Macaca fascicularis: one gene and its partners. The protein of the gene in region 2 interacts with the protein of the main gene of each other region in a pairwise test. Links are inferred from orthologs where the notes say so. Each region holds a gene or a part of one and is shown on either strand. Other genes may lie near its edges. The genes, in order: VAMP4, LMNA and ZSCAN12.

Region 1 (10,714 bases), about 76 Mb from region 2:
TCAAGGCATTTCTCAATTCCTTGCATGGGGAAATAGCTCAAGCAGACACTAAGAGTTTCACCATGGCGTGGAGGCAAAGACAGGTGACCAAAATTGTTGAAACTGCACCAAATGCTGGTAAGCAGTTGAAATTATGGCAAAGAAGGAATAATTGGATTTGGTAACATGGAAATCATTGGTGACTCCTTAAAGTTTATTTTTTAAAGCTTGCTAACAATTAGTCTATTGGTGGATTCTATTCCCCATAAAAAAAAAAAAAAAAAAAAAAAAAAAAAAAAACCAGGCTGAGAACAGTGTCAAATGTCTGTAATCCCAGCACTTTCCAGCACTTTGGGAGGCCAAGGCAGATGGATCACTTGAGCTGAGGAATTGGAGACCAGCGTGAGCAACACGGCGAGACCCCATCTCTATAAGAAAAACAAAAACTAGCCGGGTGTGGTATCATGCACCTGTAGTCCTTGCTACTCAGGAGGCTATGGTGGGAGGATAGCTTCAGCCCAAAAGGTGGAGGCTGCAGTGAGCCGTGATAGCACCACTGCACTTCAGCCTCAACGACAGAGTGAGACCCTGGTCTCAAAAAATAAAAACAAACCATCAAAAACACACAAAACCCAAAAAGCTGTACAAAGGGTTAGATTAAGGGGAAGAAAACGTTTCCTGTGTTGTACTAAAATAAACTTAGGGCTAAAAGTCATAAGATGGTGGACAGAGTGGATAATATGAAGTTCTGAGGTTGTCCAAAAAGAGCATGTAAAACAAAGCAGACTAAAAGCTTTGCAAAGGCACAGATTATGTCATCCAATTTTTAGCCCAGTGCCTAGCACACAGTAGGCGGTCAATATATATTTGTCGAATGAATCAAGGCAAGAAGGAAGGGAAGGAGGGCTTCAGAATGGTGCATTAAAAAAATAAGAATGTGAATTATTTCCCCCAATAAATATGTATTATTTATTCTAAAAGTAATCTGCCTACAACATTCATATAAAATGTCTTTCAAAATGCTGCATAATTTCTAGGTTCATGTATCTTTGCACAGAATGTTCTGGAATAAACTAGAAATTGAAGCATTATGTGAAAGATACTCTGGAACCTAAGATAATTACAGGTCTGGAGACCTTTATTTGGAATTCCAAAATCTAAAAGCTTCTGAAAATCAAAAGGTTTTGGAGGAAACTCTGACCTGAACTGATGTTAGCTAGTTTATTTACACACTTTATTTACATTAGTTAGGTATAACTAAATATACACTTCACTGAGAAATACTAATATTTTTGGAGGCACTGGTCCAGGCCCCAAAAATGCTGTTACATAATATGTTCTTAACTTTCTAAAATCTGAAAAATTCCAAATATATTCAGCTTCAAAGTTCTTAAAAAGATATTGTGTATTTGTATAAAACTCCCTTTCAAAAACTAGAAAGAAGCTATGAGAATAATGATTTGATCAATAATAGAAGTAGGATTCAGTTGTCACCAATCTAAGTAACATGTTTTTAAATACATTTACTATGAAGAAAACAATTAGGATTAGAATATAGTCATAAACTTTTGATTTTCCTATTATTAATTAATTAATTAATTTTTGAGACAGGGTCTTGCTCTGTTGCTCAGGTTGGAGTGCAGATCACAGTTCACCACAGCCTTTATCTCTCAGGCTCAGGTGATCCTCCTGCCTTAGCCTCCCAAATAGCTGGAACCACAGGCGCGTGCTACCATGCCTCACTAATTTTTAAAAAAATATTTGTAGAGACAGGGTCTCCCTAGGTTGTCCAAGATGGTCTTGAACTTCCGGGCTCGAGCTATTCTGCTGCAGTGTCCCAAGTGCTGCGACTGCAGGCATGAGCAACCGTGCCCGGATGGTTTTTTTCTATTATTTACAAAGGGAATGAAAACATATTTTGAATCTTTTGTTTTTAAAGCTTAAGATTCTGAACTTACCCTTTCACTTTTCACAGAACCCGTGACATCATCATCATTGAGGTGGCGCTTAAACTTGGGAGGCATATTTTTTACTTGTGAAGTATTTTCTACTTCTCAACAGGATAATGACTGCCTTAAAGAGAAAATAAATTTCATCAGATTTGAGACTTTGGGGTATAAGCTAAAGTACTTAAAACAATATACACAAGACCCCGTATAATGGTGACTCCCTCATTTTTCTGACTTCAGTTCCTCCCCTCTCACTTGTTCCATTCCAGTGAATGGGGCCTCCATGCTAGACCTCAACACATAAGAAATAGTTAAAACTATGAGAAAATGGATGTAATTGCCCTAAGAGAACATGTGTAGGATATGAGTGACTTAAGATAGATTTTTATAAAATGAAAGAGCAGACAGTAGAGGGAAGATGTCTCACTGAGACATTAAATGCTTTACAATTTAAATTTGGAGTCAGAAGACAGGATAACATGTCTATTTCTCTCACTTTTAGTTGGCTGCTTAAACAATGATTCAGTTTCCTCATGTGTAAAATAGTGATTTTCAGGCTTCGGCAGAGTTGGGATGGTCAAATTGGATAATACATGCAAAAATATTCTGCAAACTATAATGTCCCATTGGTACTCCATAAAAAGGGGTAAGTTTGGTAAGTACTGTGTGATATTGTGATTTATAAAATATATATATATATATTTGGTTTTAATCCCCATTTCCTGACATATCCTTGGAATCCCTGCAGTGATGTGTCTTGTGTATGCTAGTAAGATGCCTGGTAGCTTAGCCCCCACATAGATTCAAGATGGAGGCTGGTCACAGAAAAACCTAGGTATGATTATAAGACTGTGACTTTTCAGCCCCACCCCCTAGCTTCCTGGGAGGGGAGGAGGGCTCCAGGTTGAACTGATTTCCAATGGCCAATGATGTAATCAATCATGCCTACTAATGAAGACTCCATAGAACCCAAAAAGGACAGGGTTCAGAGAGCTTCCCGAAAGCTGAACAAGTAGAGGGTTCCTGGACGGTGGCACACCTGGAGAGGGCACAGAAGCTCTGTACCCCTTGCCCTATGCACCTCTTCCATCTGGCTGTTGATCTCTATCCTTTATAATAAACCAGTAAACAAAGTGTTTCTCTGAATTCTGTGAGCCACTCTAGCAAATAAATGGAACACAAGGAAGGGATTGTGGGAACTATGATTTATAGCCAGTCAGTTGGAAGCACAGGTAAAACAACCTGGAACTTGTGACTGGCACCTGAAGGGGGGAATCTTGTAGGCTTAAGCCCTCAACCTGCCCGATCTGATGCTATCTCTAGGTATACAGTATCAGAATTGAATGAGAGAACACCCAGCTGGAGAACCTGCTGCAGAACTGCCTGCTTGCTTGTGAGGAGAAGTCTTTTTGGGGTCACAGGAGTATTCTGTGTTGAGAGAGAATAGGAGAAACTCAATTTTTCTTCTATCAAAACAACTGGATTAAACAAAACTAGTTTTCTTTGCTACAGAATGACTCACATCCTGTTATATGCTAATATGCATTGTGACTTTCCAGGAAAATGCTTGTGTATGCAACATATTAAAAATTTTTTTTGAGAAAAAGTTGTTCTATGCAAATAATGAATTTTCAGTATTTTTGACTAGATGGTAGATGAATACTCAGCAATTCAGGATAGCTCAGAAATAATGTTATACTGTGTGCTAGGCACTGTGCTCAGTGATATGCATGCATTTTCTTTTACTCTTTATGACCCTTCTTTGAAGTAGGCACCAAGAAACTAGGAGAAAACTAAAGTTTAGTAACGATAACGTTAGTCACTACACTCATTGAAACAGCAGAGATACAGGCCTAAATTAATCAATGGCTGTGCATTATCAGTTTTAACTGTTTTTTTCAATTAGTTGCTCATCAGGTTTACAGAATTCTGTTCTAGAAAGACCCACTTCCTGGTAACAACCCAATAGTCCTGTTTCCTTCTCCACAAGAAGAAACACAGCCCTTTAAATTAGGTATAGTTAGATATCAGTTTGTTGGTTAATGATATACACTTAAAAAAGAATAATCCCAGAATCATGTTTCACGAACCAAATAAAAGTAATATTTTAAGTCAGCTGCTTGTCAAAACAAACGGACACAAACACTTTTCTTTGGTAAGAAATGCTTCCAAATCAGAAATTATTCACTTGTAACAAAAACCAAACTCTTGCTGCCTAACAGCTCTTGAGTTCTTGGTTCCACAATATTTCTGTCACATACATCTGGCCCTTTTATTCCTCATACTTTGATTTCAGAATACTTAATTCTTGCAGAAATGTAACAGAATGCATGGAAAAACAGATGACAAGGCAAATTACTGAAGAACTTGTGCTTTTAACTATATCTGTATTTAGATTTTAACCCCTGCAAAGAGGCTCCCTCAACATCTCAAAGCAAACAACAGGCTGACTTATATAATGCCTTTATGAGACATAGGGTAAAACTACAATCTTAAGGAGGAGCAAACCCCATATTCAGGTCTCTTAATCCCAGGAAACCATGTGCAACAAATAGAAAGCCCATCAGCAAAGCAGTAGGCAGATTAATTAGCTACGTTGATGAACTTTGACGTTATTTGCAACTGGTGATTATTAGTAACTGATGACATGTGTATCAAACAACTAGTAGAAATGAATCATGCTCAGAAAGTAGACAAGGATATCGTCCGCCTAAGATTCTCCTACAAAAAAGACATGTGAATTCAGGTGTTTGTGACTAGGTATACATGTAAATAAGAGAGCTATCATGTACTTCCACATTGAGGATAGACCACCACTATAAAATTCACTTAAAAAAGTCACATCACCGTATGCTTCTTATACATCGGCATATACTTAAATGTCTATGTATGCATTTTTGTAAGTAGTACGTTATCTAGTCAACAGCTTTGAATCTGGGCAGAGGCTCTCCTTTTCCCAGCCTCCATTCCCTTTCTGACTCGTCTTCCTTGTCTGTCATCAGCCGTCTTGCTTGATGCAGTTTCACAGAAATAAAGTGACTTGGATGGACACAAACCGGAGATGTCATTTGCAAAACCTGTCAAGTGTAACGATTCACCCCCACCTTCCGGTCATTATAAACACAGCAGGGTTGGCGCTCTTTCTCCTGAGCCCTTTAAATACACAATTCCAGGCAGCTCCGTTCACCCCCCACACCCAATCTGTCGCACCAGGCCACGTCCCTGGATATATCTGCTCCTAACACTGGCCCTTCCTGCCCCACGGTACCCCCTGGCATTCCTGACTGCATCCCACTCTTAACAAACCTTCCCCATCCATGGCACTGTTTTCTTCCCATCACCCAGAGTTCCCTTCCATTCCAAGTCTTCTCTTCCTCAACTGCTCCCCGTCCGCACACCCCTGTCCTCGTCTTCCTTCCTCACGACACCCCGGGCCCCAGCCTTTTCCCACTCCGGGGTCCCTTCCTAGATGCCGGAGGCCGGCCGACCAGCCCGACTAGGACGTCGGGGGGCGGCGAGGCAGGGCGTCTTCTTCGTTTCCTTCCTCCTCACACCAGCCCCTCCCGCTGGGAACAGGCCAGCGCCAGTACCTGAGGCTCCCGGGGAACTCCCGGCAGCTCTCCCGGGCTGGCGGTGCTGGGCGGGCGGTGCTGGGCGGGCGGGGGAAGGAGTGGGAAGCCGAGGTAAAAAGCTGGGAGGGGGAGACAGTGGATGCAGACCCGGCGTCGGCCGCAGCGCCGCAGAAGCGCCTCCGCTCATCGAGCCGATCGGCGCTCGGCGGCCTGGCGCCAGGCGGAGAGGGCGGGTCCAGGGCACGGAGATAGTCGAGGAAGTCGATTCCGCCGAACGCGCTTCGCCTAAAAGAGCCCGGACCCACACGCAGTTTAGGTGCAGCTTTCCAAGGTTATGCTGTGCTTTAGGGGAGGAACGACCACCGGTTCTCCAGGTTCCGGTCGCGATCCGGTGGACCTGCTTCGGGTTCGTCTGGGGCCTTTTCTGAAGAAAGGAGATCTGTTCGATCCCTTGTTTACAGAATTAGCTACACTTGGAAAGAGATGTTAGGGGTTCCTAGGCCAGGCTCCTCCCTTTAGATAGGTGGAATATCTGGTTCAGAGAGGAGACTGACTTAAAGTTACACAGCTAGTTTAGATAGATACGGAACGAGGGCTCGGTGTTCTTTTCCTGGTATCCCTTAGTTGTAACCTGAAAGCCTTCAGGTTTCAGGGAAATCGCCCTTGCCAGGCCATTCCGCCACTCTGCCCATTCCTCCCTCACTCCCTCCCCCTCCGCCCAATTTGGTATCATGTTTAGATCTCGAAGCCCGCTGTAGCTGGCTACCAAAAACAAGTCCTAATTTTGTTTTTCCGTTCTCTTATTTGTTTTATTATCCATTCCTCCCACGCCCCAGCTGGATTATTTTACTCATTGAATCATATTCACTACACATCTTTTAAAATGAATACAGTGTCTATGGGTCCTTTGTTGATAGAGTATTTTAACTGTCTGAAATGCTTTGCCAGGCACTTTCTAAAGATATAAAAATAAGAGGGGGTGTTCAAGAACAAGAGTAGACAAAACAGCAGGAGGAAAGATCTGAGGACACTAAAGGAAAGGAAAGAATAGACACCCTCTTACCAAAAAGTTGCTCTTCTTTTGATTTTTTTTTTAATGTAAAACTGTACTAACGAATTTGAAAAATGCCATGACTAAGGCAATGATGCTCAACTCTGATTCACTTGGAGTTGAATCACTTGGAAAGCTTTTAAAACTGCGTAGGTGCCCACGTGTTACCTAGATTCTGATTTAAATGGTCTGAGATTTAGAAACAGCCGTTGGGTTGTCAGTTGAAGGTTCTGAAAGCTTGATGCTAAACTCAGTTGCCTATGTTTATGCCAAGTTGCTGACTTGGACTGAAACGGCCCACTTAGAAACCTCTCATGGTTTATATCTCTGTCTAGGCGTGATAGTGGGACTACCCCCAGACTCCACAGGTAACCCAGACATCATTTTTCCTTTTACAGCTGATTTTTTCTTTTGAGACGAGTTATCACTTCTTCTCCCAGGCTGGAGTGCGGTGACACAATTATATCTCACAGCAGCTGTGAACTCCTGGTCTAAAGTGATCTTCCTGCCTCTGCCTCCCAAGTAGTTGGAATTACAGGCACAAGCAGCTGTGCCCAGCACTTACAGTTGATTTTATGTCTATATATTTGCATGTTATAGGATATTTTCTGGCTTTGGTGCCTTAGCCAGTTGGAGCTTTAGCTAGTTATAGCCTCGTCTTTTGTGCATAGACAACTTAAGGTGTGGTCAGTGAGCTCCAACAGCACGTCATTGCATAGCTTTTATGGATAATCCTTTCTTTGGGTTTCTTTGTTTTTTAACCATAATTCTTTAGTCCCACCAGTCATTTTGGAATGGTCACTTAGGAGAGGGGTAATGCAAGTCCCACCCTTTAATCACCTGAACAAAGTCCCTTTGACTATCCCCAATATTTGCGAAACTTAGAAAATGTCATTTTACAGTTAACGTGAATCAAATATACCAGTAAGCCTAAAAGATTATAAGTAGCACTGAGCTTAGAATCAGAACTCTAAATAAGTAACTCAATAAGCAACTTGAGTTACTTATTTCCTCCATTTTCTTTTTAGTGAGCTTCAGTTATTCAGATGTTAGTCCTCTAATTTTCTTTTCCCCTTTTGCAACGTGACACCTTCATCCTTAAGAGTGCCTGCTGTCCTCCGAGCTAGAGAATCAGCGTTTTGCTTATTCTCCCAAGACTAAATCTCTGGGCTTTTGATGGGATAACAAAGGGAATCTGAGCATCTGATTCATTCTTAAACAGACTTTCTACCATTCCCCCTTTATTTCTAGCTCACATCATGCTCTCTTCAGCTTTACCCGGTGCTTCCAATTCCTGAGCCTTGTGCAGGGTTTCACTGTGTGCATCAGGTTGCTTCATGGCCTGCTTGGAATTCCTACTTTTCCAGTCTGCTAAGGTAATTGCTTCTTGATTCATCTCCCTTCTAGCTTTCAATATTTAATTGCTAAATGTTCAACATTACTTAAAATGTAAAAGTGAACAAGGAAATACCATTTTTCCTCTATCAGTGACTGAGAAAGGAGTTGAGCAGAAGATCTTCAATCCAGTCTCTCCTCTCGTAGGGAAATACTCTCAGGAGAGCAAGCAAGCGAGCGTGTAATTTTTATAAATATGGTAATTACAGACCTCCTGGCAAACAGACCAGTGGTATTTGCTAGCTGAAGAGTCCATATTTATGGAATTCCTCTATCAAGATGTCCCGGATTGTCCTGGAATTGTTTATGGTAAACACATTAAGAATCGATCTGGTAATCCCAGCACTTTGGGAAGCTGAGGCAGGCGGATCACTTGAGGTCAGGACTTACCAGCCTGGCCAACATGGTACAACCCCATCTCTACCAAAAATACAAAAATTGGCTGGGTGTGGGGGCATACACTTGTAATCCCATCTGCTCAGGAGGCTGAAGCAGGAGACTCGCTTGCACCGGAGAGGCAGAGGTTGCAGTGAGCAGAGAGCGCGCCACCGCACTCCAGCCTGGTAGACAGATCGAGACTCCCTCTCACAAAACAAAACAGAATCAGTGTGGATTTCAGGGGTACGATTAACTGGAAAATACCGCGGAAGTTATATAACTTAGCGTAAAATGGAAGTGTTTTGTAACTGAGTTGGCTCCTTCTGTGTAAGTGGGATGACTATATTCTTGGTTTAGAAACCACATCTGTCCTGGGCCAGGATGCATCCAAAGCAAGAAGAAAGGACCTGGGAATTACTGGTATTCTTGAAATTATTAGTAAAGCTTGATACTGAGTAAAATCTCTGATTTGACAGTTTGGTCCTTTGTGTCAGCTCAATGACAAAAATAAAAAAATTGATACTACAGTATTGGGGGGGTGTGTGTGTGTGTAGTATGAGAGCAGGGTGGGAGGAACAAGCATTCTTTTTTCTTTTTTTTTTTGAGGCGGAGTCTCGCTCTGTCGCCCAGGCTGGAGTGCAGTGGCGCGATCTCGGCTCACTGCAAGCTCCGCCTCCCGGGTTCCCGCCATTCTCCTGCCTCAGCCTCCCGAGTAGCTGGGACTACAGGCGCCGCCACCACGCCCGGCTAATTTTTTTGTATTTTTAGTGGAGACGGGGTTTCATTGTGTTAGCCAGGATGGTCTCGATCTCCTGACCTCGTGATCCGCCCGCCTCGGCCTACCAAAGTGCTGGGATTACAGGCTTGAGCCACCGCGCCCGGCCGGAACAAGCATTCTTAAACACTTAGTAGGAGTATAAAAATTGGTGCATTTTTTTTAAAAGTTCACGGTAATTATATGTATCAAAACTTTATATGAAGTTCTTTTTGATCTAACAATTTTACTTCTAAAATTTATCCCATGGGTATACAGGTTGTATATAAAAGTATTCTATAAAAATATCTGTTACAGGATTTTTGTAATAGAGTGAAAAAAAACCTCTTAACTGTTCAGCAATAGGAAATCGCTGAAATAAGTCATAATGTAGCCATTCAATAGAATAGTATGTAGTCATTAAAATAAACTAGATAGATCTATATGTGCTCACATGGAATACCTGTATGATGCTATAAGGTGAGAAAAGTAAGGTGCAAAATAATGTGTAGACTCTACTTCCATTTGAGCATCACACACACACACATCAGTAGGACGGTGATTCTGGCATGGAAAGTATTACGGACTGAATTATATCCCCTCAAAATTCATATGTTGAAGTCCTAACTTCCAGTGTGACTAGATTTGGAGATAGGGCCTTTAGGACAATAATTAAGGTTAAACGAAGTCAGAAGGGCAAAACCCTAATCCTATGGAGCTAGTGTCTGAGTGCATGGGCACAGAGAATAGGCCATATGAGAACACAGAAGATGGCCATTTGCAGTCCAGAAAGAGAGGCCACACAGTAAACCAAGCCTGATGGCCCCTTGATCCTGGACTTTTAGCCTCTAGTACTGTGAGAAAATAAATTTCTGTAATTAAGCCACCTAGTCCATATTATTTCATTATAGCAGCCCTAGAAGACTAATACAGAAGGGAAACTTTCTTGATGTGTAGTGTTTTGTACCATTCGAATTATCTTTACCATGTATAGTACTTTTTCAATTAAAACAATAGTGGAGGCACTCTCTTCCCCTAAAATTGGGACCAATTGATCAGTTAATTTAAAAAGTCAGTTATAGTGGTACATATTTTAAAATGGCAAATATATACTTTAGTCATTTTATTTTGACTCAAATGTATAATTATATGTTCACTCACCAGTCTTGGTAGTAGGCCCAAGACCTTTTATCTGAGCATGAGTTTGCTTGTTGGAACAATTTGTCTTTGTTACAATTTGCATTGTTTACAGTTTCCAGTTTCATTTTCTTCAAGGTGGAACAAGAAGTTAAAGACACCTTTCAAGCAGTTTGAATGCCCAGTCAGTCTAGATTTTTGTACAATTTTTTCTCCAAAGTTTTACAGATTTGCCTTACCTATGCCTAGTTCTACAGTAATTTTTATTTGTTGTTCATGTTAATCAACTTAGTTTTTATAGAAAATAACTTTCTATTTGTATTTCATTAGAAATCTATTTACATATTTAAATAGATTCTATAAGTATAATAGACATAAATACTTTGGAGTACAAATGCAAATTGACTCTTGTAAGCATATAACTCAATTAGTTTGGAGAGGAAGTATACAGGTATCATGTAGTTAACCATTATCTTTTCATGCTTAGAGTGCCTTGGTG
Region 2 (10,714 bases):
TTTCCAGGTATAGGCTGGAGCAAAGGCTATTGATCATATGCTAACAGGCCCTGCAGGAGAGCAGTTTTTTTTTTTTCTTCTTTTTCAGAGACAGGGTCTTTCTCTGTCTCCCAGGCTGGAGTGCAGTAGTGCAGTCATAGCTCACAATAGCCTCAAACTCCTGGCTTCAGGTGATCCTCCTGCCTCAGCTTCCCGAGTAGCTGGAACTACAGGTGTTGACCGGCTAATTTTTTGTACAGAAGGGGGTCTTGCTATGTTGCCCAGGCTGGTCTCAAACTCCTGGCCTCAAGTGATCCTCCTGCCTTAGCCTCCCAAAGCACTGGGATTGCAGGCATGAGCCACCAAGTATGGTCATAGAGCATTAAGGTATCACTGGCCCCAGAGCAGAATTTCCAGGCTGCAGAAGTGAGCCTCAGCTACCTGACTTCACCTTACCTCACCCTCTAGATCCTCCCTCCAACCTGTCCCCCAAGCTAGAGAAGTGAGGCTTAATGGTAAGAGCACACCCAACTGGAAGTCACAAGGTCTGTGCTCAAGTGCTGACCTATCACCCCTTTACTGTGTGACATGGGAAAAGCCTCTGTGCCTCTGTGGCCTTTGCTGTTCTTGTCTTCATCAGAGGCTACATGAACTGGAGCCTGCATCTCCCTGCGTGTCCACACTGGGGCTGCAACAGTGGGCAATCCAGGAAGTTGTCGAGCACCAGGGCCTCGCTGGGGTGGAAGTAGTGCTTCTGCTTTGTGGACCTGGGATCTCCCCACTTCTGACTCAGCCTTCCTCCATCAGTTTCACATGGGAAGGCACAGACCCTGGCACTATCCTGCAGCCCAATCCATGGCTCTGAACTCAACTCTGGATTCTAATTACTTGTGCATGTTGCCTGTCTAGAGAGAGCTATGGTTCCAGACACCACCAGAGGGTCTAAGGAAGGAGCCAGGCAAGGGACTCCAGGATTCAATGGGGAGGGGGGCAGAAGATGTAGACATTCAGACCACCATTCCTCTCTTTAAGACAACTGCTGTCTCCACCCTGTCTCCTGCTGTCTCCTGTAAAGCCACCAGGGTGGGAGGGAGGGGGGCAGCATCTGAGTCATCCACCCAGTTGTCTTGCCTGGGGTGGGGCCCAGCTGCAAGCCTGGACTCTAGATGGGCTTCCCTGGTGCTTACAACCTTCCCATTCTGCCTGCACTTGGGTATCCAAATCCCTTGGGCTACAGACTAGAAAGAGACAGAGAAGGGGCAGGGGGGACCAGGTATGGTAGCTCATGCCTACAAATCCCAGCACTTTGGGAGGCCAAGGCCAAGGTAGGTGGATTGCTTGAGCCCAGGAGTTCGAGACCAGCTTGGGCAACACGGTGAAACGCCATCTGTACAAAATATATAAAAAATTAGTGGCCAGGTGCGGTGGCTTACGCCTGTAATCCCAGCACTTTGGAAGGCCAAGGCGGACAGATCAAAAGGTCAGGAGTTCGAGACCAGCCTGGCCAGCATGGTGAAACCTCGTCTCTACTAAAAATACAAAAAATTAGCCGGGCGTGGTAGCAGGCGCCTGTAGTCCCAGCTACTCGGGAGGCCGAGGCAGGAGAATCACTTGAACTTGGGAGGCAGAGGTTGCAGTGAGCCGAGATCATACCACTGCACTCCAGCCTGGGCAACAGAGTGAGATTCCATCTCAAAAAATAATAATAATTAGCTGGGGGCTGGGTGCGGTGGCTCACGTCTGTAATTCCAGCACTTTGGGAGGCCGAGGCAGGTGGATCATGAGGTCAAGAGATGGAGACCATCCTGGACGACATGGTGAAACCCCGTCTCTACTAAAAATACCAAAATTAACTGGGCATGGTGGCATGTGCCTGTAGTCCCAGCTAATTGGGAGGCTGACGCAGGAGAAGCGCTTGAACCCAGGAGGTGGAGGTTGCAATGAGCCGAGATCGCACCACTGCACTCAAGCCTGGCGACAGAACAAGATTCTGTCTCAGAAAAAAAAAAAAAAAAAAAATTAGCTGGGCATGGTGGCACACACCTGTAATCCCAGCTACTCAGGAAGTTGAGGTGGGAGAATCACCAGAACCTGGGAGGTTGACGTTGCATGAGCTGTGATCACGCCACTGCACTCCAGCCTGGGCAACAGAACGAGACCCTGTCTCAAAAAAAGGAGAGAGAGAGTACTGGGAAAAGGGGTTTCTTCTTGGAGCCTATAATCCAGCCAAACAGAAGGTCCCCCAAACTCCTGAGTGTGGTTGAGGTACCCAGGCTAAGTCAAAAATTGCTACAGGATCTTACAAACAATTCTCCATCCCAACTCCAAATCTGGCCCTGAACTCTGAGCTCTAATTAAACATTAAACCAGACAACACCTTTTCTCTAGGCTTTGGTGGGAGGGGTTGGGAAAATGCCTTTTTTCCTCCCCCAAATTCTTTACCCACTTCTCTACCTCACCCTGAGCACAGCAGACCCAACAGGGAGTGACCAATCCTGGCTCCTCCTACTGTGGGCATAGAAGAGGACAGACACTCCAGTCTGAGTCCCCTTTGTCTTCACCCCACTTTCTATCAGCTTGGGATCCAGGTGTGCAAATCCACCTCTCTTTTCCGGAAGCCCAGCCTTCCCAGCCAGGATCAGTGGGGGAGAACAGAGGCAGGTGGCTAAATATAACAAGTACACACAACACCCCCGCCCTGCCCCATGTGCGCACATACCCGCCTGGTGTCCCAGGCCTGGACAGCTGCACTAGGAGGCAGAGGAGACAAGCTGGCGTGGTTGGATGAGCAAGACTATCGAATCCATTCAACCTGTTTCCTGATCAAAGTTTTAACCAGAAAACTGCTAAAACTGCTAAAAATGTCCTTCACAGGGATTTGGTAGTTGAGTGGAATGGTTAAGAATGCATCGAGGCCGGGCGCGGTGGCTCAAGCCTGTAATCCCAGCACTTTGGGAGGCCGAGACGGGCGGATCACGAGGTCAGGAGATCGAGACCATCCTGGCTAACACAGTGAAACCCCGTCTCTACTAAAAATACAAAAACTTAGCCGGGCGAGGTGGCAGGCGCCTGTAGTCCCAGCTACTCGGGAGGCTGAGGCAGGAGAATGGCGTGAACCCGGGAGGCGGAGCTTGCAGTGAGCTGAGATCCGGCCACTGCACTCCAGCCTGGGTGACAGAGCGAGACTCCGTCTCAAAAAAAAAAAAAAAAAAAAAAAAAAAAAAAAGAATGCATCGAATTCTCTGGGTCTCCCCTTCCTTGCTTCCTTTCTGTCTTGCTAACTAAATTGTTCATATCACTAGTAGAAAAACGACAGGCCTGGCGTCAAGCCCGGTGGCTCATGCCTGTAATTCCAGTGCTTTGGGAGGCCGAGGCAGGAGGATTGCTTGAGGCCAAAACTTCAGAACCAGCAGAGCAACATAGCAAGTTTCCATCTTTACAAACAAAAAGGAAAAAAAAAAAATTAGCCAAGCGTGGTGGTGCCTGCCCTTAGTCTCAGCTATTTGGGAAGCTGAGACGGGAGGATCACTTGAGCCCAGTAGGAGTTCCAGGCTGCAACAAGTTATGATTGCACCATTGCGCTCTAGCCTGAGCAACAGGGCAAGGCCCTGTCTCTGAAAAATACAATAAAAATAAAGAAAAGGACAGGTGCGGTCTCCTTCAGCAGAAATAAAGTTTGAGGTTGGGCCCAGTGGCTCACGCCCTGTAATCCCAGCACTTTGGGAGGCCAAGGCAGGAGGATTGCTTGAACCCAGGAGTTCAAGAGCAGTGTGGGCAACTTGGCAAAACCCCATCTCTATAAAATAATACAAAAACATTAGCTGTGAGTTGTGGTGCTTGCCTGTGCTCCCAGCTACTCAGGAGGCTGAGGCAGGAGGATGGCTTGAGCCAGGGAAGTGGAGGCTGCAGTGAGCCATGACCTTGCCACTGCACTCCAGCCTGGGTAACAGAGTGAAACCCTATCTCAAGAAAAAAAGAAGCCAGGCGCAGTGGCTCACACCTTTAGCCCCAACACTTTGGGAGGCGGAGGTAGGCAGATGACTTGAGGTTAGGAGTTCGAGACCACCCTGGCCAACCTGGTGAAACACCGTCTCTACTAAAAATACAAAATTTAGCTGGGTGTGGTGGCCGGCACCTGTTGTCCCAGCTACTTGGGAGGCTGAGGCAGAAGCATGGCTTGAACCCAGGAGGCAGAGGTTGCAGTGAGCCGAGATCACACTACTGTACTCCAGCCTGGACAACAAAGCGAGACTCCGTCTCAAAAAAACAAAATAAAGGTTGATGGCCGGGCATGGTGGCTCATGCCTGTAATCCCAGCACTCTGGGAGGCTGAGGTGGGTGGATCATTTGAAGGCAGGAGTTTGAGACCAGTCTAGTCAACATGGTGAAACCCTGTCTCTACTAAAAATACAAAAAAAAAAAAAAAAAAAAAATTAGCTGGGTGTGGTGGCTCACGCCTGTAATCCCAGCTACTCGGGAGGCTGAGGCAGGAGAATCTCTTGAGCCTGGGAGGTGGTGGTTGCGGTGAGCCAAGATCGCACCACTTCATTCCAGTCTGGGTAACAGAGTGAGACCCTGTCTCAAAAAAAAAAAAAAAAGAAAGAAAGAAAAAAAGGTTGAGCCTGTTTTCCTACACACAACTTCTACTGACTCTTCAGAAAGAAGGGCTATGGGCCCGGCGTGGTGGCTCGCGCCTGTAATCCTAGGACTTTGGGAGGCCAAGGTAGGTGGATCACCTGAGGTTGGGAGTTCAAGACTAGCATGACCAACATGAAGAAACCCCTTCTCTACTAAAAATACAAAATTAGCCCGGCATGGTGGCACATGCCTGTAATCTCAGCTACTTGGGAGGCTGAGGCAGGAGAATCGCTTAAACCTGGGAGGCAGAGGTTGCGGTGAGCCGAGATTGTGCCATTGCACTCTAGCCTGGGCAACAAAAGCGAAACTCCATTTTCAAAAAAAAAAAAGGGCGATGGATCTGCCACACCCACCACACCTAGCAAAGGGTTTTGGGAAGAGCAGAAGTTTGGAGTAGTTGATAAAAGGGAGAGAAGAACTCAAAGCCAACAGCCCTTTATGGCTCTCCAAGCCCTGTTAGTGCTCTTAGCCTGGGTCTGCATAGAGAAAGGGAAGGCAGGAAGAAGGGAACCAAATTTTGGGGGGACTGGAAGAGGAAGGCCTATACTTCCAAGCTCCCAAGGCTTTTTTAGGAAAGAAGAAGGTGGAGTTGAGCAGGGTGGGGTAGGGTGGGGCAGGGGTGGGTAAAGTAGGAGTGGCCTGAAGCTTCCAACGGCTGGATTTCAAAAATGTCACTGTATTCCAGCACTTTAATAAGACAAAGATCAAAACGTCAGCAGCTAAGAGGATGGGCCTGAGCAAAGACTGCCTGGCCTGGCTGGGAAAATGAAAGTGGCTCACTCCAAGGAGGGAAGGACAGTGCCCCCAACCCTCGAAGACACGAGGCAGTGGGCCAAGGGAGGAGTGCGGCCAGACCTGGGCATAACACAACTTCCTGAGCTGGGAGCCTCTGCCCTCTGCCTCCCTCCCTCCCTTGCATTCCTGGGCCAAGCAGGCCAAGGGCTGTGGGAGCTGCGGGGGAGCCAATCTCCCGATCTCCCATCTCCCGGAGCTCTTTTGGTGGGCCTGTCAGAGCCCAAGGAAGGTCCCAGACACGCAGAGTGGCAGAGTGAGGGACAGCTTCCCAACCCTTAGAACCCCGGAAAAGGTCATGCCGAGGGGGCCACCGCCAAGCCCTCGGGAGGGAAAAGGGGGATTGCCCTGCCTTTCTCACCTCTCTCCAACACGCTGGACAGATGCCAGCTTGGGAGTCATGTCTTAGTGGGCATCATGTGTTCAGAGCCAGCTTGGGCAAAGCTGGCACCAGTGCCAAGCCCGCCAACAAAGTTCTAACAGGACCCTTTCTGCTACTCATATGTGTCCTGGGTGCCCAGAGTTCTTCGAGCTGGCAGGGCTAGTTCTGTTTTGCTTAAGCCCCTCCCGCAGGCTCCAAATAGCTGGCAAATCCCAATCTGACCGAATTCGGGCAGGCCCCAGCCCTAACTTGTCCCTGATACCCCCACCATTCCTTATATCCCCCCCGCCCTCTCCCAGAGACCACCTCTTCCCTCTCTGTCCTGTCTTGACAATTCCCCTTGACACTGCCAGTCACTCGCTGGGGGCAGTTCCGGGAAGGGAGGAGACTATGGCAAAGTTATCGGCCTCCAGGCCCTCTCACTCCCTTCCTGCAGTCGGCCAGGGGCGCCGGCCAGCCGCCCTCTCCACTCCCCGCCAGGCACGCAGCCACCTGGGCGAACTCACCGCGCTTTCAGCTCCTTAAACTCCTCACGCACTTTGCTCAGCTCCAGCTGCAGGCGGGCACGCTCCTTGGCCACTGAGTCGAGGGTCTTGCGGGCATCCCCGAGCTCGGCCTCGTAGGCGGCCTTGATGCCGGACACCTCGCGGCTGACCACCTCTTCAGACTCGGTGATGCGAAGGCGCAGCCCTGCGTTCTCCGTTTCCAGCGAGCGAACACGGTCGATGTAGACCGCCAAGCGATCATTGAGCTCCTGCAGGTCCTCCTTCTCCTGCAGCCGGGTGATGCGGGTGGGCGACAGCGGAGTGGAACTGGCCTGCGCCCCGCTGCGGGTGGCGCGCCGCTGGGACGGGGTCTCCATGGCCGGCAGGTTGGCAGCGCTGCCCGCGGGGCAGGGGTCCCGGAAAGGGCTCGGGGCTCGGGCAGAAGGACGGAGACTGCTCGGAGTCGGAGTGCGCCGGCCGGCTGGCTCTCGGCTTGCTACTGGCAGGCGTGGGGATCTGGGCCGAGCGCTGTTGGACCTCGGGATCTGGGTTGGCTGGTGTAGGTGCTGCGCTCCCGCGAACACTGAGTCACCGACGCCGGGGCAAAGGCTCTAATAGGTCCTCGTCTGAAGGGAGGAGTGGCCACTGCTCTTAAAGGGGCAGTCCCAGATCCATGGGGGTGGGGGCAGGAGTGGTGAGGAGGGGGAAAGACCGTTGGGGTGTGGCGGAGTCGAGCCCCACCCTCTCCAGCGCACCCCTAACTGCGTGAGGCTTAAGCTTCCCCTCTCTTGGCTGCTCAGTACTGCCGGCTCCAAGCTTGCCCCCATTGCCTCAGACCTTCTGGGCTAGAGGGCAGAGCCAAGGAGGGAGAGTGGGTGGGCAAAAGGGTGGGGGAGAAAGAGAGGGAAGTGGGTGCAAAGCAAGGGAGAGGGTCAGGCAGGCAGGGCTGGGAGCCAGGAAAGTGGGGGGAGGGCTGAGGCTGGTGCCCATCAGTGTGACTCACCCTTCTTCCACCACTGGCTCCCCCTGTCCTCCCAGTAGTAATAGTGAGTCACCCCAACCCCCCCTCCACACGTGGGCAGCCCATTCAGAGCTGCATCTCAGTGTGCCAGGAGTGGGGTGGAGAAGGAATGCCTGGGTTCCCTGGGGGGAACAAAGTTCTGGAACCTGAGTTCCTTTATGCCCCCAATTTGGGGCCAGGGATCAAGGAGTTTGGGGGTCCCTTTTTTGCTTTCTTTTGCCCCAATATATCTCCCTTCAAAACCAAGCATTCGTTTTTAGACCCAAGCAACAAGCCACAGTCCCCTAAAGAAGGCCAAGAATAGGAGCCAGGCACTTCCCCCTTCCATCTCCTGTCCCCTTCCTTTGGACCCAAGCACTGCTTGGGTTCCTTCCCCCTTCAGTCCCTTTCTACTGCTTACCCCACCCAGTCAACTTAATTTTTTTTCCCCAGAACTGTACTTATTTTAATGGATAATTTAAAACAGATACCAGAGCTGTGTGTGCATTCATTACGTTGCCAGGACACTAGGTCCCAGATTTCTGTGGTTCCCAGAGGGGCCTGAAAGGGGGAGCAGGGCTGGGGGCTGGACAGCCAATGTTGGGTCTCTATCCTGGTTTCAGCCAGAAAGAAGGTAGTAGGGGGTAAGAAGGTAGTGGGGGGCAGGAACAGCAAAGACCCCACAGCCTTGCTGGCTGCAAAGGCCAGCACCACATTCATCTCTACTTTCCTCTCTGGCCAGGTCCATTTTGCAGCTGGCTCTGGGGAGGGGCCAGGCTGTCTCACAAAACGAGATCACCCAGGTCCCCAGGGTTCGCTAGCTCAGGCTCTGGAGCCTCCATCCTCAGGCCTCACCAAGGACCCTTTTGATAAGCCTTCCACTCCCCTCCCCTCATCCTGGCCCCTATTCTGGTCCCATCAGCCACCTCATCCTCTATTTTTTTTTTTTTTTTTTTTTGAGATGAAGTCTTGCTCTCTCACCCAGGCTGGAATGCAGTGGCATGATCTCGGCTCATTGCAACCTCCACCTCCAGGGTTCAAGAGATTCTCCTGCCTCAGCCTCCTGAGTAGCTGGGATTATAGGCACCCACCACCTTGTCCAGCTAATTTTTTATTTTTATTTTTATTTTTATTATTTTTATTTATTTATTTATTTTTTGAGACGGAGTCTGGCTCTGTCACCCAGGCTGGAGTGCAGTGGCACGATCTCGGCTTTTATTTTTATTTTTAATAGACATGGGGTTTCACCATGTTGGTCAAACAGGTCTCAAACTCCCGACCTCAGGTAATCTGCCTGCCTCAGCTTCCCAAAGTTCTGGGATTACAGGTGTCAGCCACCACGCCCGGCCCACCTCATCCTCTCTAAGAGGTGACAGCACTGAGGTCTGGGCCCCATCTGCCTGCATGCCCTGCCCAACTGCCTCCCACAGCTTATCCTCCGATGAGCAACCAGGAAAATCAAATTACGTTGCTACCTTGTACAGCTCCAGGATATCAGGACTTCTCTCAAACACAAGGAAAGCAGGGCTGGACAGGCCCTCAGTTCTGGGTTCTGAAGCCTGGCCTTGGGGTGGATGAGGGACTGGAGTGGGATTAAGGCAGGAACTTTGGTTATTAGGGGAGGAGAACAAGGAAAGTTCTCATCTCAGTGAGGGTGCCTGGGCAGCATGGTGAGCATTAGGGATGCACCCGGGTGAGGGGGCCCAGAATATGGCTTCTCTGCCCCAGGGCGTGGCACCCACCCTCAGCTTCCCAGACAATAAAAAGTCTTGTTCTTCTCCAAACCAGAAGCAGAGGCAGGAGGGGTAAGAAAGTGAAACATGAGGGAAGGGCTCATGCTGTTCCCACTGCCTCAGCCCCTCCCTGGCACTCAGTGCCCCCCGTTTCCCCTACAAAGCTGCTCGGCCTGGCTTCCCTTCCAGGCTGGAAAGCAAAACCACACTTAACCCTTCCTATCCTAGACCTCCCCCCTCTTTTTTTGAGAATCTTGCTCTGTCACCCAGGCTGGAGTGCGGTGGCAGAATCATAGCTCACCGCAACCTTGAATTCCTGGGCTCAAGTGATTGTTTTATCTCAGCCTCCTGAGTAGCTGAGACTATAGGCTACCATGATAGAGATGGAGTCTTGCTATGTTGCCCAATTTGGTCTGTAACTCCTGGCCTCAAGTGATCCTCACCTCAGCCTTCCAAAGCACTGGGATTATAGGTGTGAGCCACTGTGTCTGGCCAGACCTCCCCATCTTGTGGAAAAGGTGCAGGAGAAACAAGGAGGGCTTTCACCCCACATTTTACTACAAGCTCTTTCTAAAGGTTCCCTGCCACCACTATCAAAATGGCCTTAATCCTAAATCTGAACTTCAAAGTGAACCCTTATCCTGAATATTCAATCCTAACTCTGGACCCCAGATGTTGTAAGTCTGCTCTCCCTTTGCCAGGGCAAAAATCACCAACCCAGAAGCAGCATCCAGGTCCAGAGGAGCTGAGCCTGCTGGAGGTGAGAGGTGAGGGGAGTGGTGACTAGAGGGTGACCAGGTTCTAATCCTACCTCTTAATTGATGGGTGATGCTAGATCCGCTACTGAATTCTCTGGACCTCAGTTTCAGTAGGGCACAGTGGCTATCAAAGACAGGGACTGAGCTCCTGGGTGTGCAAGAGTTCTGCACATTGTGCCACAGGGTCATGGCAGTACTATGCTTGCTCTCAAGGGAGCCTCCCACTAGTGGGGAAGACAGAAGGAGAAGCAAAACCAACAAGTACAGATGATTAAAGTGCAGTGGAGGACTCTGAATTGGATGAATTCCAAAGGGATCCCAGAAGTCTGGGAGCTGGAGCATTCATGAGTGAAATCAGAATACAGTGGTTGGGTCCAAGGGACAGTTTGAGCTTTTTTTTTTTTTTTTTTTTTGAGACAGAGTTTTGCTCTTGTCACCCAGGCTGGAGTGCAACAGTACAATCTCAGCTCACTGCAACCTCTTTCTCCCAGGTTCAAGCGTTTCTCCTGCCTCAGCCTCCCGAGTAGCTAAAATTACAGGCGTGTGCCACCACGCCCGGCTAATTTTTGTATTTTTAGTAGAGACGAGGTTTCACCATGTTGGCCAGGCTGGTCTCGAACTCCTGACATCAAGTGATCCCCCGCCTTGCCTTAGCCTCCCAAAGTGTGAGATTACAGGCGCGAGCCACTGCACCAGGCGTGGGCACTTTATCTTGAAGACCAATGATCTTGGTGGGGGTAGGGGGGCTTCTCTGTGTTCTTATAGCATCCTGGTCTTCCCTCTGTGACACAGCAGGCACTCGGTGGGTGTTTCTATTCTTTTTTTTTTTTTTTTTTTTGAGATGGAGTCTTGCTCTGTTGCCCAGGCTGGAGTGCAGTGGCACAATCTCAGCTTACTGCAAACTCTGCCTTCCAGGTTCAAGCGATTTTCCTGCCTCAGCCTCCCGG
Region 3 (10,714 bases), on a different chromosome or scaffold from region 2:
AGAGAAAGAGGAAAAGGAAAGGGGATATGTAAAGATAAATAATGTAGAGAAATAATAAAAAAGAAAGGCACCCTTGGGATGCTATGATGGGAGGATTACTTGAGGCCAGGAGTTTGAGACCAGCCTAGGCAATATAGCAAGACCCCATCTCTCCAAAAAAATTAAAAATTATCTGGGCATGGGGGCGCACATCTGTAGTCCTAACTACTCAGGAGACTAAGGCAGGAGGATTGCTTGAGCCCAGTTCAAGGTTATAGTGAACTATGATTACACTACTGCACTCCAGCCTGGGTGACAGAGACACCGTATCTCCAAAAACAAAACAAAACAAAAGGTATAAGGGAACAAATGAAGAGAAAGAAAAGAAAGAAGGTGGGAGAAGAAAGAAAGGGAAAAGAAGGGAAGGAGAGAAATCTCTTCCATATTCATTCCTAAGCTGTTCCCAATAGTCTCTGCTCTTCTGAGGTGCCCATCCCACTTCTCTCTGGGAAGATTATCTTATTTTCTATTTATCCAAGATCACAATCATCTCAAAAATCATCTACTATTCATTTTATCTATCTCCACCCTCATACTCCTCTCCATTTCTTCTATCTTAGAGGATGATGTCTTCTCTATTTCAAGGCTCACATCTCTACTTTTGCCTTCAATCCCATCACTTTTGGCTTCCCTCTGACCCTTGCTCCCTCAGTTAACTAACTCATTTATTCAGCAATTTCAGTCACTGGGTGGCTGCCATTCTTCCATGGGCCTATTTCCTCTTGCATTTAAAAATAATAGGTTTCTTCAGCAAGGTATTGTAAAAAGCAGGGATATGGAATCACATGGATTACTAACTCTCTCTCTTAGTCTAATAGCTCTGTGACCTTGGGCTAGTTACTTACTCTCTCTGAGATTATAAATAATTTTTGTATAAAGCACCTTGCACAGGGCTTGGCATACAACAGGCTCTCAAATTACTCCCCCATTCTCTTCAAAGGTTAAATTTTATAAATAAGAAATCACCATATACTGCCTCTATTTCCCTGATACGGTTTCATTTTGTAGACTCAGTCTTCAGAATAAAAGCCAGAGTCAGCAAAATGCTATCTCAGATGTACAGAAAATGGTGTTTTGATATCTCACATTTTGAAAAAAGAAAGCGGGGAGAAAAAGCCAGTACTGTGAGCTGTGCCTTCTATTCCTGGATCTCTGGTCAGGCCTCAGAAATCAAGCTGTAAACTCCATTAGATGCCCCCTGCAGTGCTTTCAGAGAAAGAACTGGTTGGCAATACAGATTCAGCACATTTAAAACCAAATTACTTTTGGCTGCATCTAAGAATCCTGTCCTTCCACCCCAAACCCACTTCTCTCCCAGTCTTTACCATCTCTATGAAAGACAAATCCACTCTATCTGATATTCAGACCAAATACTTGGGCATAATCCTTAACTTACTTTCTCTCATATTCCACATTCTATATAAAAACAAACCCTGTCAAGCTCTACCTCCAAAATACATCCAGAATCCAATCACATTTTACCACTCCCACTGCTACTATTCTAGTCCAAGTCACCAATATCTCTTGCCTGGATTATTGCTTATTATTATTGCTTCTACAAGGTTTCTTTGCCTCGAACTTTTACTCCTATGCCTACCCCAGCCCCATTGTGGAACTTTCTCACAGAAGCCAGAGTGACTATTTTAAAATTCAAGTCAAATTATGTCTCTCTTCTGTTCAAAATTCTCCAGTGACTTTCCATCTCAGAATACAATTCGAAATTCTTATAATTGCTACAAGTTCTGACATAATATAATCTTATAAGGATTTTATTTCATCTCCTCCTTGACAAACACATCTCTACTGTGATAAGTAGATTCTCACTTTAAGACCCTCTGCCTGAATGCTTTTATCCCTGATAGCTGTATGGCTTGCTCTTTTCATTCAGATTTCTCCTGTAAATGTCACCTATCTGAAAAGCCTTCTCTGACAAGTCTACAGAAAACAGCACAATCCCCACTTATTTCACTATTCCTTTTCTCTGCTTTTATTGTTGTTGTTGTTGTTTGAACAGAATTTATTACCACCTACATCTTGTATGTTTGTTGATTTTTTTTTTTTTTTTTTTTTTTTTTGGAGATAGGGTCTCACTGTGTCTCGCAAGCTGGACTGCAGTGGTATAATCACGGTTCACTGCAGCCTCGATCTCCTGGGCTCAAGCAATCCTCCCACCTTAGCCTCCCAAGTAGCTAGGACTACACGTGCCTGCCTGGCTAATTTTTGTATTTTTTATAGAGATGGGGGTCTCATTATGTTGCCTGGGCTGGTTTGTTGATTTTTAATTTACTATCTGTCTCTCCTCAGTAGACCAGAATCTACATAAGAATAGCAACCCCCTGTGTTTTGTTGGCTGTTGCATTCACAGTGCCTAAAACAGTACCTAGTCCAAACAGACATACAGTAAATATGTACTTAATTATTTCCTACAGTCTTTAACTTTGTTAGGAGTGTCTCCATTATACTAGTCTTTCAAGCTTAAAATCCCTAGTGTTTAGCTTAGAATACATTGCTCTGTAAAGAGTTCTCCATTGGTTCTTCCTTCTTTATTTAATAGATCTAATCTGTCATCACTTCCAAACAATTCTTACCTAAGATATGCTTCATCCTTGGTAATCACACTTTCATGATCCTGTTTCTTTTTTTTTTTTTAAGCAGAGTCTCACTCTGTTGCCCAGGCTGGGGTACAGTGGCACAATCTTGGCTCACTGCAACCTCTGCCTCCTAGGTTCAAGTGATTCTCCTGCTTCAGCCTCCCAAGTAGCTGGGATTACAGGCACGTGCCGCCATGCCCGGCTGATTTCTGTATTTTTAGTAGATACGGGGTTTCACCATGTTGCCCAGGCTGGCCTTGAACTCCTGACCTCAGGTGATCCACCTCCCTCGACCTTCCAAAGTGCTAGGATTACAGGCATGAGTCACTGCGCCTGGCCTCGTGATCTTATTTCAAACTTAGATCTTTTTGCCACATGTTCCTACCCTCTCTATTGTATTTTGTATCACAGTGTTAGATTATACTTCCATTTCATTATTTCCCTAAGTTTCAAACTCTTTATATCAGGGTTTCCTAGTGTTGGCTCTACTGACATGTTGGTTTAGATAATTCTCTGTTGTCTGGGGCTGTTCTGTGTGTTGTAAGAGGCTTAGCATTAGCCTTGTCCTCTCTACCCACTAGATACTAGGAGCACCTCCCTGAGTTATAACAACCAAAAATGTCCCAAGACATTGCCAATGCCCTCTGGGGCACAAAATTGGCACTGGTTGACAACCACTGTCTCATTTTAGTATTAAAAACAAAACAAAAAAGTTCTATATAATTTGGTTCTCTTTTACATCTTACAATTAGTAAAGCTCATTTAGACTCAAGAAGAAAAGGTTAGGGGCGTCTGTCTACAGAATAAAATCTCAATTCCAGAGGTTGAGATTCAAGGTCCTGGACACTATCTCAACTCTTCTACTCAGAATTCACCTTTCCAGCCTAACTGGGCTTTCTACTACTCAAAGAAACACAGAACCCCACCCTGCTCTCCTCACTAACTTTCCATTGTACTCCCACATCTCATTCCCCTGAAATAGTTAATTTTTCCATTTTAAAACCCTGTAATGGAGTCAGAGCAATGGATATATCTGCAAAACCTTAATTCTTAATTATTTGTATTGTGCAACAGAGTGATGCCCCTCCAAGAGACTGCTTCCCATCCTGCTACTTTCATCTCTCTGATACCTTCTCTTGTCTTAGAAGTTTTCTAAGATGAGCAGCATATTTATCAAACAGAATTTTGTAGCTTAATAGAGAAATATAAAATCCTTCCACAGAAAAGTTATAAATAAGTTGGGACCACATTAGCCAACTTTCCCTGAAACTCATGCCCCTTTCTGATGCATCAAACTGTCAAAAAACATGCTTTGTGAAAAAATGGCTGTTCTTCACTCTGGCCTAGAAATCCACAATTTATCTTTTCTCAAACAGAAGTCACCTCTTTTTTCTCACCTGCTCTCCTGGCTCATCCAATTCTCTCTCTAAATCCTCCAGCACAGTCACCACCTCCTCGCCACTCTCTGGATGCTGCTCCTGCACCCAGGCCTGGAGCTCCTCAGGTAGGATGGTCAGGAACTGCTCCAGCACCAGCAGCTCCAGAATCTGTTCTTTGGTGTGGGTCTCTGGCCTCAGCCACTGATGGCAAAGTTCTCGGAGTCGGCTCAAAGCCTCACGGGGACCAGACGTCTCCTGGTAGCAGAACTGTCTGAAGTACTGACGGAAGACCTCTCTGCTATGGGTGTTGTTTTTATGCAGGTCCCAATCCTGTCTGGTGGTATACTTCTTCTCCTCTATCTTTACTTCCAAACGTTCATCCTGGTCCATGTGGGCCTGGATAGCCCAAGTAGATGCCATTTTAGCTGTGCCAGAACTACCGGTGTTTCAAGTAAGATCTCCCCTGGAAAATTTATTCCTGGACAGTCCTGAGGAATAAGCCATCATTATTAACACAAACTCCACCATAAAGTAAAACTGCAAATTCTGAGAACTTAACTATGATCTTTGAAATCTGGCCTCCAGGTTAATGTACGATACTTACTCAGAAAAATACTCTGATAGAAAAGACTTAAGATTAGACCAATTTAAAGAGAAAGACTAAGGAAAGGTGCCAAGTTGTTTCAGGACTTTAAGAAGAAGAGTAAGACTTGTTAGTAAACTTATTCTCATTTGGTCCTAAATGAAAGGCAAATGGAATAAAACTAACATTTAGATCAAGTAAACAATAATGATAAAAGGTTAGGACATCCTTGATTAGTTACTTTTATCTTTTGAATATCCAGATGTCTGGTAGAAACCATGAAATCACAAAAGCAACAAAGTCATGTAAATTTATTTCCTCAGGGACTTAAACTTTCCGCTCCTTATTCTTCATTTATAAAGTGAGAAGGCTGAAGAGGTTACTCTTTAAGCCTTCCCTCTATCCTCATGGTCTGTGATTATAATCTGAAGTGAGGAAGGCCCTGGGACGCCGGCCAGCGTCTGTGAACCACCACTGTCTAGAAATGTCGGTACGCGCTGAACCCAAGGATACAACGCCGAGGCAAACGCGGAAGGTAGGTATGGGCCTTACAGCACGGAATTGCTGCAGACTGGGAGCCGATCCCTCATCCTAGTCTCCCAGCGCACTTTGGGGAGGGAGAGCTTCCCGCGGATCCACCTGGGTTTGGGAGGACCAGGGTCCATTCTGCACCGGCCAGAGCCGAGGGGCCCAGCAACTAGAATACAGCAATCTTCCGCCCACCTCCTCGCAGCATACAGAGCACAACATCGCTCACCTGCGGCCCCCCCGGGCCAGAAGAGAACTCCCCCCTAAAGGCCTCGAACCCTTTTGGGACCCGGAACCCATCAAAAGTGACCCACAAAGGCCGGAAGCGGCCACGGGAGGGCTGAGAACCAACCCGCGTGGGGCGCACTTCCGCGGCCGCTCTAGGAAGGGGGCGAAAGGGGCTTTCAACTCGGTAGTAGTGTTTCCGCGCGTCTACGTGAGAGGAAGGGTGATGATGGCTCTCAGACCCGCGGGTAAACGGAACGGGTTTATCTTTCTCCTCTTCTTTACTCAGCCATTGTCCACACTTCCCCCGGCCCGATGGGTGGTCAAGGCTTGTAGAACTGATCTTAAGACAGGGAAATCCCTTGCGTCTCCATTCACTTTGGGATTCTGTGTCTCTGAGGTTAGAGATGCCTCAAAGGGATGTTCTCGGGGGACCTTCTGCCGGGGAGCTTCCCAAATCCGCGCTTAGCGGTGGCGTAGGGATTTCTTCCACACAGACTTCTCAAGGGCCAGCGGGCTGGTTTCTGCCGGCTATTTCGCCATCCACGATCCTCTTGATGTTCTCTTTTATGCGCCGATGTATGATTATATGTCAGAAAACCCGGTTCAATGGAAAAACTATTAAAAAAAAAAAGGATAATTTAGTAAATTAGCAAGATATAAAGTTAACACACTAAAATCAATGGCCTTCATATATGTGAATAATCAATGATAACGAGTTACGAGATATAATGGAAGAGAAGACTATATTTACAATAGCAACAAAAAATTGAAACTAGGAATAAACTTAACAAGAAATGAACAAAACTTCTATGGAGAAAGCTTTAAAAAGCTCCTAAAAGGCCAGATGTACATTTAAACAAACAAAGCAATATGCGGTTCTTAGAAAGACTCAAAGAGGTCAATCCTCCCTAAATACGTATGCAACTCTAGTATTCCAACAAAAATATCAACAAATATTGTTCTGGAATTAGATAAACTGATTATAAAGTTCAAGTGGGAAAATAAGAATAGCCAGGAAACCCATGAAAAAGAACAATGGTGAGGGTCAGCCTTATCAGATACTGGAACATACCCATATGATTTTATTGTATTAACAGAGAGAAAGAATAGACCAGAAATAGATCCAGGTATGTAAGGATATTGAGTAAATGATGAAGGGGACACCACATGTCAACAGAGAAATGAAGAACTTAGAAGTTGTGCTGGGATGACAACCATTTGTCAAAGGTAAAACTGGATTTGTATTTCCCACCACACATCACAATAGAGATAAATTCTAAATGGATCTGAGATCTAAATGTAAAAAATCCACCTATACATGTATTAGAAGAGAACATGAACAATAATTCTAACACGTGGGAATGGGGAAACATCTAACCATATGACTCAAAATCCAAAACTCATAAAAATAATAAATCTGACTACATGAAAATAAAATGTATTGCTTGTCAAAAAAAATAATAAGGAAAGAAAAAGACTTGCAACATATCACAGGCAAGAGCTAGTTTTCCAAATATCTAAAGAGCTCCTAAAAGTTGAGAATAACCAATAATCCAATAGAGAAAATGGCTAAAAGAAATAAATAGTTGACAGAATAAGAAATGCTAGCAGCCCTCAAACATCTGTAAAGATGTTCAACTTCGCTCAAAATATGAACATACAAATTAAAAACTATGCTGACTGAGGTACCATTAGTCATCAGAATGGCAATGGTCCAAAAGTTTGACAGCATACTCTACTCAAGAGGAAGGAGAAACTCCTAACATTCTAGTGGGAATGCAAAATGGTACCACCCATAGGTAGGAAAGATAATACTACACAGCAGAATTGTATATGTAAGTTTACCCTTTGTTCCTGCAATACCACTTCTAGAAATCCATCTCAAAGACACTTTGACATGCACAAGATTAAATGGGATCGGGGGAGGCCTGATTTTTAAAATGCCAAATATGAGGGGATGAAATTGAGAAATAGGAGGAAAAATGGATCAGGGCTTCATCATTGATTGTATGGGGGTTAAGATAACCAAAAATAGAAGCCTGGTATCATCAGAGGATGGTGGTCCCTCCACCAAGACAGGGGACTAAATGACAAGTAGCATTTTGAGAAGAAATTTATGAGCACAGCTTGGCCATGTTAAGTTTGATATCCTAGGGAGCATTACACTGTAGATGTTGCTATTCGTTAACGGATTGGTTTAGGGATTTGTGGGTTTAGGAGTCATGAGAAGAGAGTTAGCTTGAGATCCATATTTTGGAGCCTTCCACCTTTCAGTAATGGTTAAAACAATTAAGAGATCTCATGAAGTGTGTGGTGCCAAAAGACAGCCTAGGACAGATTTCTGGAGTGCCCTTTGCCCCCTACTGCCAGCCCTGTAGATTCTTCTTTCAGGGCATCTGGGGAGAAGGGAGAGAGAGATCCCTCCTCACACCGTGTCAGGGCTCAAATGTCACCTGAAGCCATAGAACATCTCAGAAAACAACAGACAGAGAAATTATTGGACAACAACCTGAATTCAACCTGGAAGTGAACCTCAAGCTCACTTTGGGGTCCTTTTCTAGGCATCTTGAAGGATTTTTGCAATGCAGTCATTTTCCAAGTTTCACTTGGCATGACTTACTGAAAGAAGCTGATATGAAAGTCTCACTTAAAAAGTCAACTTGCACCAAGAATGATTGACTTGGCATAGTTCCCAGGGACCTAGGTGAAATAGTCAACTTTTTGTCACAGATGCAACATAGCCACAAGAAAAGAGCATCTAAGCACAAAGAGAGCTTAAGACAGAACTCTGAGTAAAACCAATCTCCGTCTTTTGACACTAGAGAAACACAAGGATATAGAGACAAAGAGCAGACAAAATGCATCTCTAGAATATCTTTATTTTAAACAATTTTTGTCTAACGTTATTACACTTTTCGGCCATTTTACTAACCAAATAACTCTAACATTTAAAAAGGAGAAAGTTTCCTGTGATATATTGATAAGCCTTCTAACTGCACTTAAAAGGGAAAAGAAAGCAGATGTCGAGAGCTAGGACTCAAAGACTAAGAGAAAAGGTAAAACTGTAATATTGGAAGCCCAGCTATGCAGCCATAAAAAAGGATGAGTTTGTGTCCTTTGTAGGGACATGGATGCAGCTGGAAACCATCATTCTTAGCAAGCTATCACAAGAACTGAAAACCAAACACCGCATGTTCTCACTCATAGGTGGGAACTGAACAATAAGATCACTTGGACTCAGGAAGGGGAACATCACACACCGGGGCCTATCATGGGGAGGGGGGAGGGAGGAGGGATTGCATTGGGAGTTATACCTGATGTAAATGACGAGTTGATGGGTGCAGCACACCAACATGGCACAAGTATACATATGTAACAAACCTGCACGTTATGCACATGTACCCTACAACTTAAAGTATAATAATAATAAATAAATTAAAAAAAAAAAAAGAATAGCTGTATTAAAGCCTTTGCCAATTCTAAAAAAAAAAAGAAAAAAAAGAAAATGAAAGCATGTATAAACTTGATTAGCTCGTAATTGTGCCAGGTTTATTTAGTGAGGTTGAAAGGGGATGGAGACAATTGAGAAAAAAGTTATTTAGGAAAAGATTTCAAAAAAGGCTTATTTTTCCTTCAGACTTTAAATCTGAGGTGGATAAAGGTATTGTGGAAAATTAAAGATGGCTACAAATTCTTTGACATTTCCCATCAAGATGTGGGGTCTGTGTCACTTTCCCTTGAATCTGAGTGGGCTTAATCATTAATTTGACCAATAAAATACTGCAAAAGTTATGCCATGGTTTCTGGCCTGAGCCTTCGGAGAGCAGCAGCTTTCACTTTTTGTCTTTTAGAACAATTGCTCTTGAAGTCCTGAGCCACCATGGAAGAAGTCTATCAACCCTGCTTTCCAGTGACTGAGTTGCAAGAATCCTTCAAGATGCTGAGAAAATGACCCCAAAGTGAGCCTTATGTGACTCCAAGACCACATAAAGAAACTCTGAGACCACATGGAGAAGATTAGCCCAGCTAAGCCCACTTTTCTGGCTGTCCCTGCCAAGGCACTTGGCATGGCAGTAAAACTTCTTGGATTTTCCAGACAAATTATAATGCCAGATGAATACCACCAAGTGACTTTAGTTGACACCACATAAAACAGAAGAATTTCTCAGCTGCGTCCTCCCCAAATTCCTGGCCCAAAACATGATGGCGTGGTTTTTCTCCACTCTTTTGGAGAAACATTTTATGCAGCAATAGATAACAAGATCAGATGTTTACTAGATTATAACAGTTTGATTAGACTATTTCCTAAGAACATTAACTTTCCTGAGTTTCAATGACATAGTCAACATGCAATTTTTAATTTGTAGTTGATATTTAAATTTCCAGTTAGGAAAAAGCTTGATGTTGAGGATTTGCACTAAATTTTAGGCCAGGATAGCAACAATTTTTATGGAAATTATTATGTACAGTATAAGGTAACTTTTTATGGGCTATAGTTACTAACCAATTTCTTTTTTTTATCATTTTTATTGTTTATTTATTATTGTAATTTAAGTTCTAGGGTACATGTGCACAACGTGCAGTTTTGTTACATATGTATACATGTGCCGTGTTGGTTTGCTGTACCCACTAACTCATCATTTACATTAGGTATTTCTGCTAATGCTATCCCTCCCTCATCCTCCCACCCCATGACAGGCCCTGGTGTGTGATGTTCCCCGCCCTGCGTTCAAGTGTTCAAGTTGTTCAGTTCCCACCTATGAGTGAGAACATGCGGTGTTTGGTTTTCTGTCCTTGTGATAGTTTGCTGAGAATGATGGTTTCCCGCTTCATCCATGTCCCTACAAAGGACATGAACTCATCCTTTTTTATGGCTACATAGTATTCCATGGTGTATATGTGCCACATTTTCTTTATCCAGTCTGTCACTGATGGACATTTGGGTTGGTTCCAAGTCTTTGCTGTTGTGAATAGTGCTGCAATAAACATATGTGTGCATGTGTCTTTATAGTAGCATGATTTATAATCCTTTGGGTATATACCCAGTAATGGGATGGCTGGGTCATATGGTATTTCTAGTTGTAGATCCTTGAGGAATCGCCACACTGTCTTCCCAAATGGTTGAACTAGTTTACAGTCCCACCAACAGTGTAAAAGCGTTCCTATTTCTCCACATCCTCTCCAGCACCTGTTGTTTCCTGACTTTTTAATAATCGCCATTGTAACTGGTGTGAGATGACATCTCATTGTGGTTTTGATTTGCATTTCTCTGATGACCAGTGATGGTGAGCATTTTTTCATGTGTCTGTTGACTGCATAAATGTCTTCTTTTGAAAAATGTCTGTTCATATCCTTTGCCCACGTTT

What was found.
Region 1: the proteins of LMNA (region 2) and VAMP4 interact in a two-hybrid assay, tested with the Homo sapiens proteins (2 studies listed by BioGRID and IntAct, with this or other methods). The link is inferred for Macaca fascicularis from reciprocal best matches to the Homo sapiens genes LMNA and VAMP4.
Region 3: the proteins of LMNA (region 2) and ZSCAN12 interact in binary tests that used the Homo sapiens proteins (3 or more experiments, as listed by UniProt). The link is inferred for Macaca fascicularis from reciprocal best matches to the Homo sapiens genes LMNA and ZSCAN12.

The regions. Positions count from the first base shown.
Region 1 is NC_088375.1:29,351,643-29,362,356, forward strand, and holds the start of VAMP4 (vesicle-associated membrane protein 4), read right to left. Parts: upstream 5,689-10,714; 5' UTR 5,519-5,688; exon of another isoform or gene 5,235-5,518; intron 2,053-5,234; exon of another isoform or gene 2,049-2,052; 5' UTR 2,004-2,048; coding exon 1,938-2,003; intron 1-1,937. UniProt on the Homo sapiens protein: Involved in the pathway that functions to remove an inhibitor (probably synaptotagmin-4) of calcium-triggered exocytosis during the maturation of secretory granules.
Region 2 is NC_088375.1:104,959,340-104,970,053, forward strand, and holds the start of LMNA (lamin), read right to left. Parts: upstream 6,862-10,714; 5' UTR 6,654-6,861; coding exon 6,298-6,653; intron 1-6,297.
Region 3 is NC_088378.1:144,778,012-144,788,725, reverse strand, and holds the start of ZSCAN12 (zinc finger and SCAN domain-containing protein 12), read right to left. Parts: upstream 5,428-10,714; 5' UTR 5,232-5,427; intron 4,498-5,231; 5' UTR 4,430-4,497; coding exon 4,028-4,429; intron 1-4,027. UniProt on the Homo sapiens protein: May be involved in transcriptional regulation.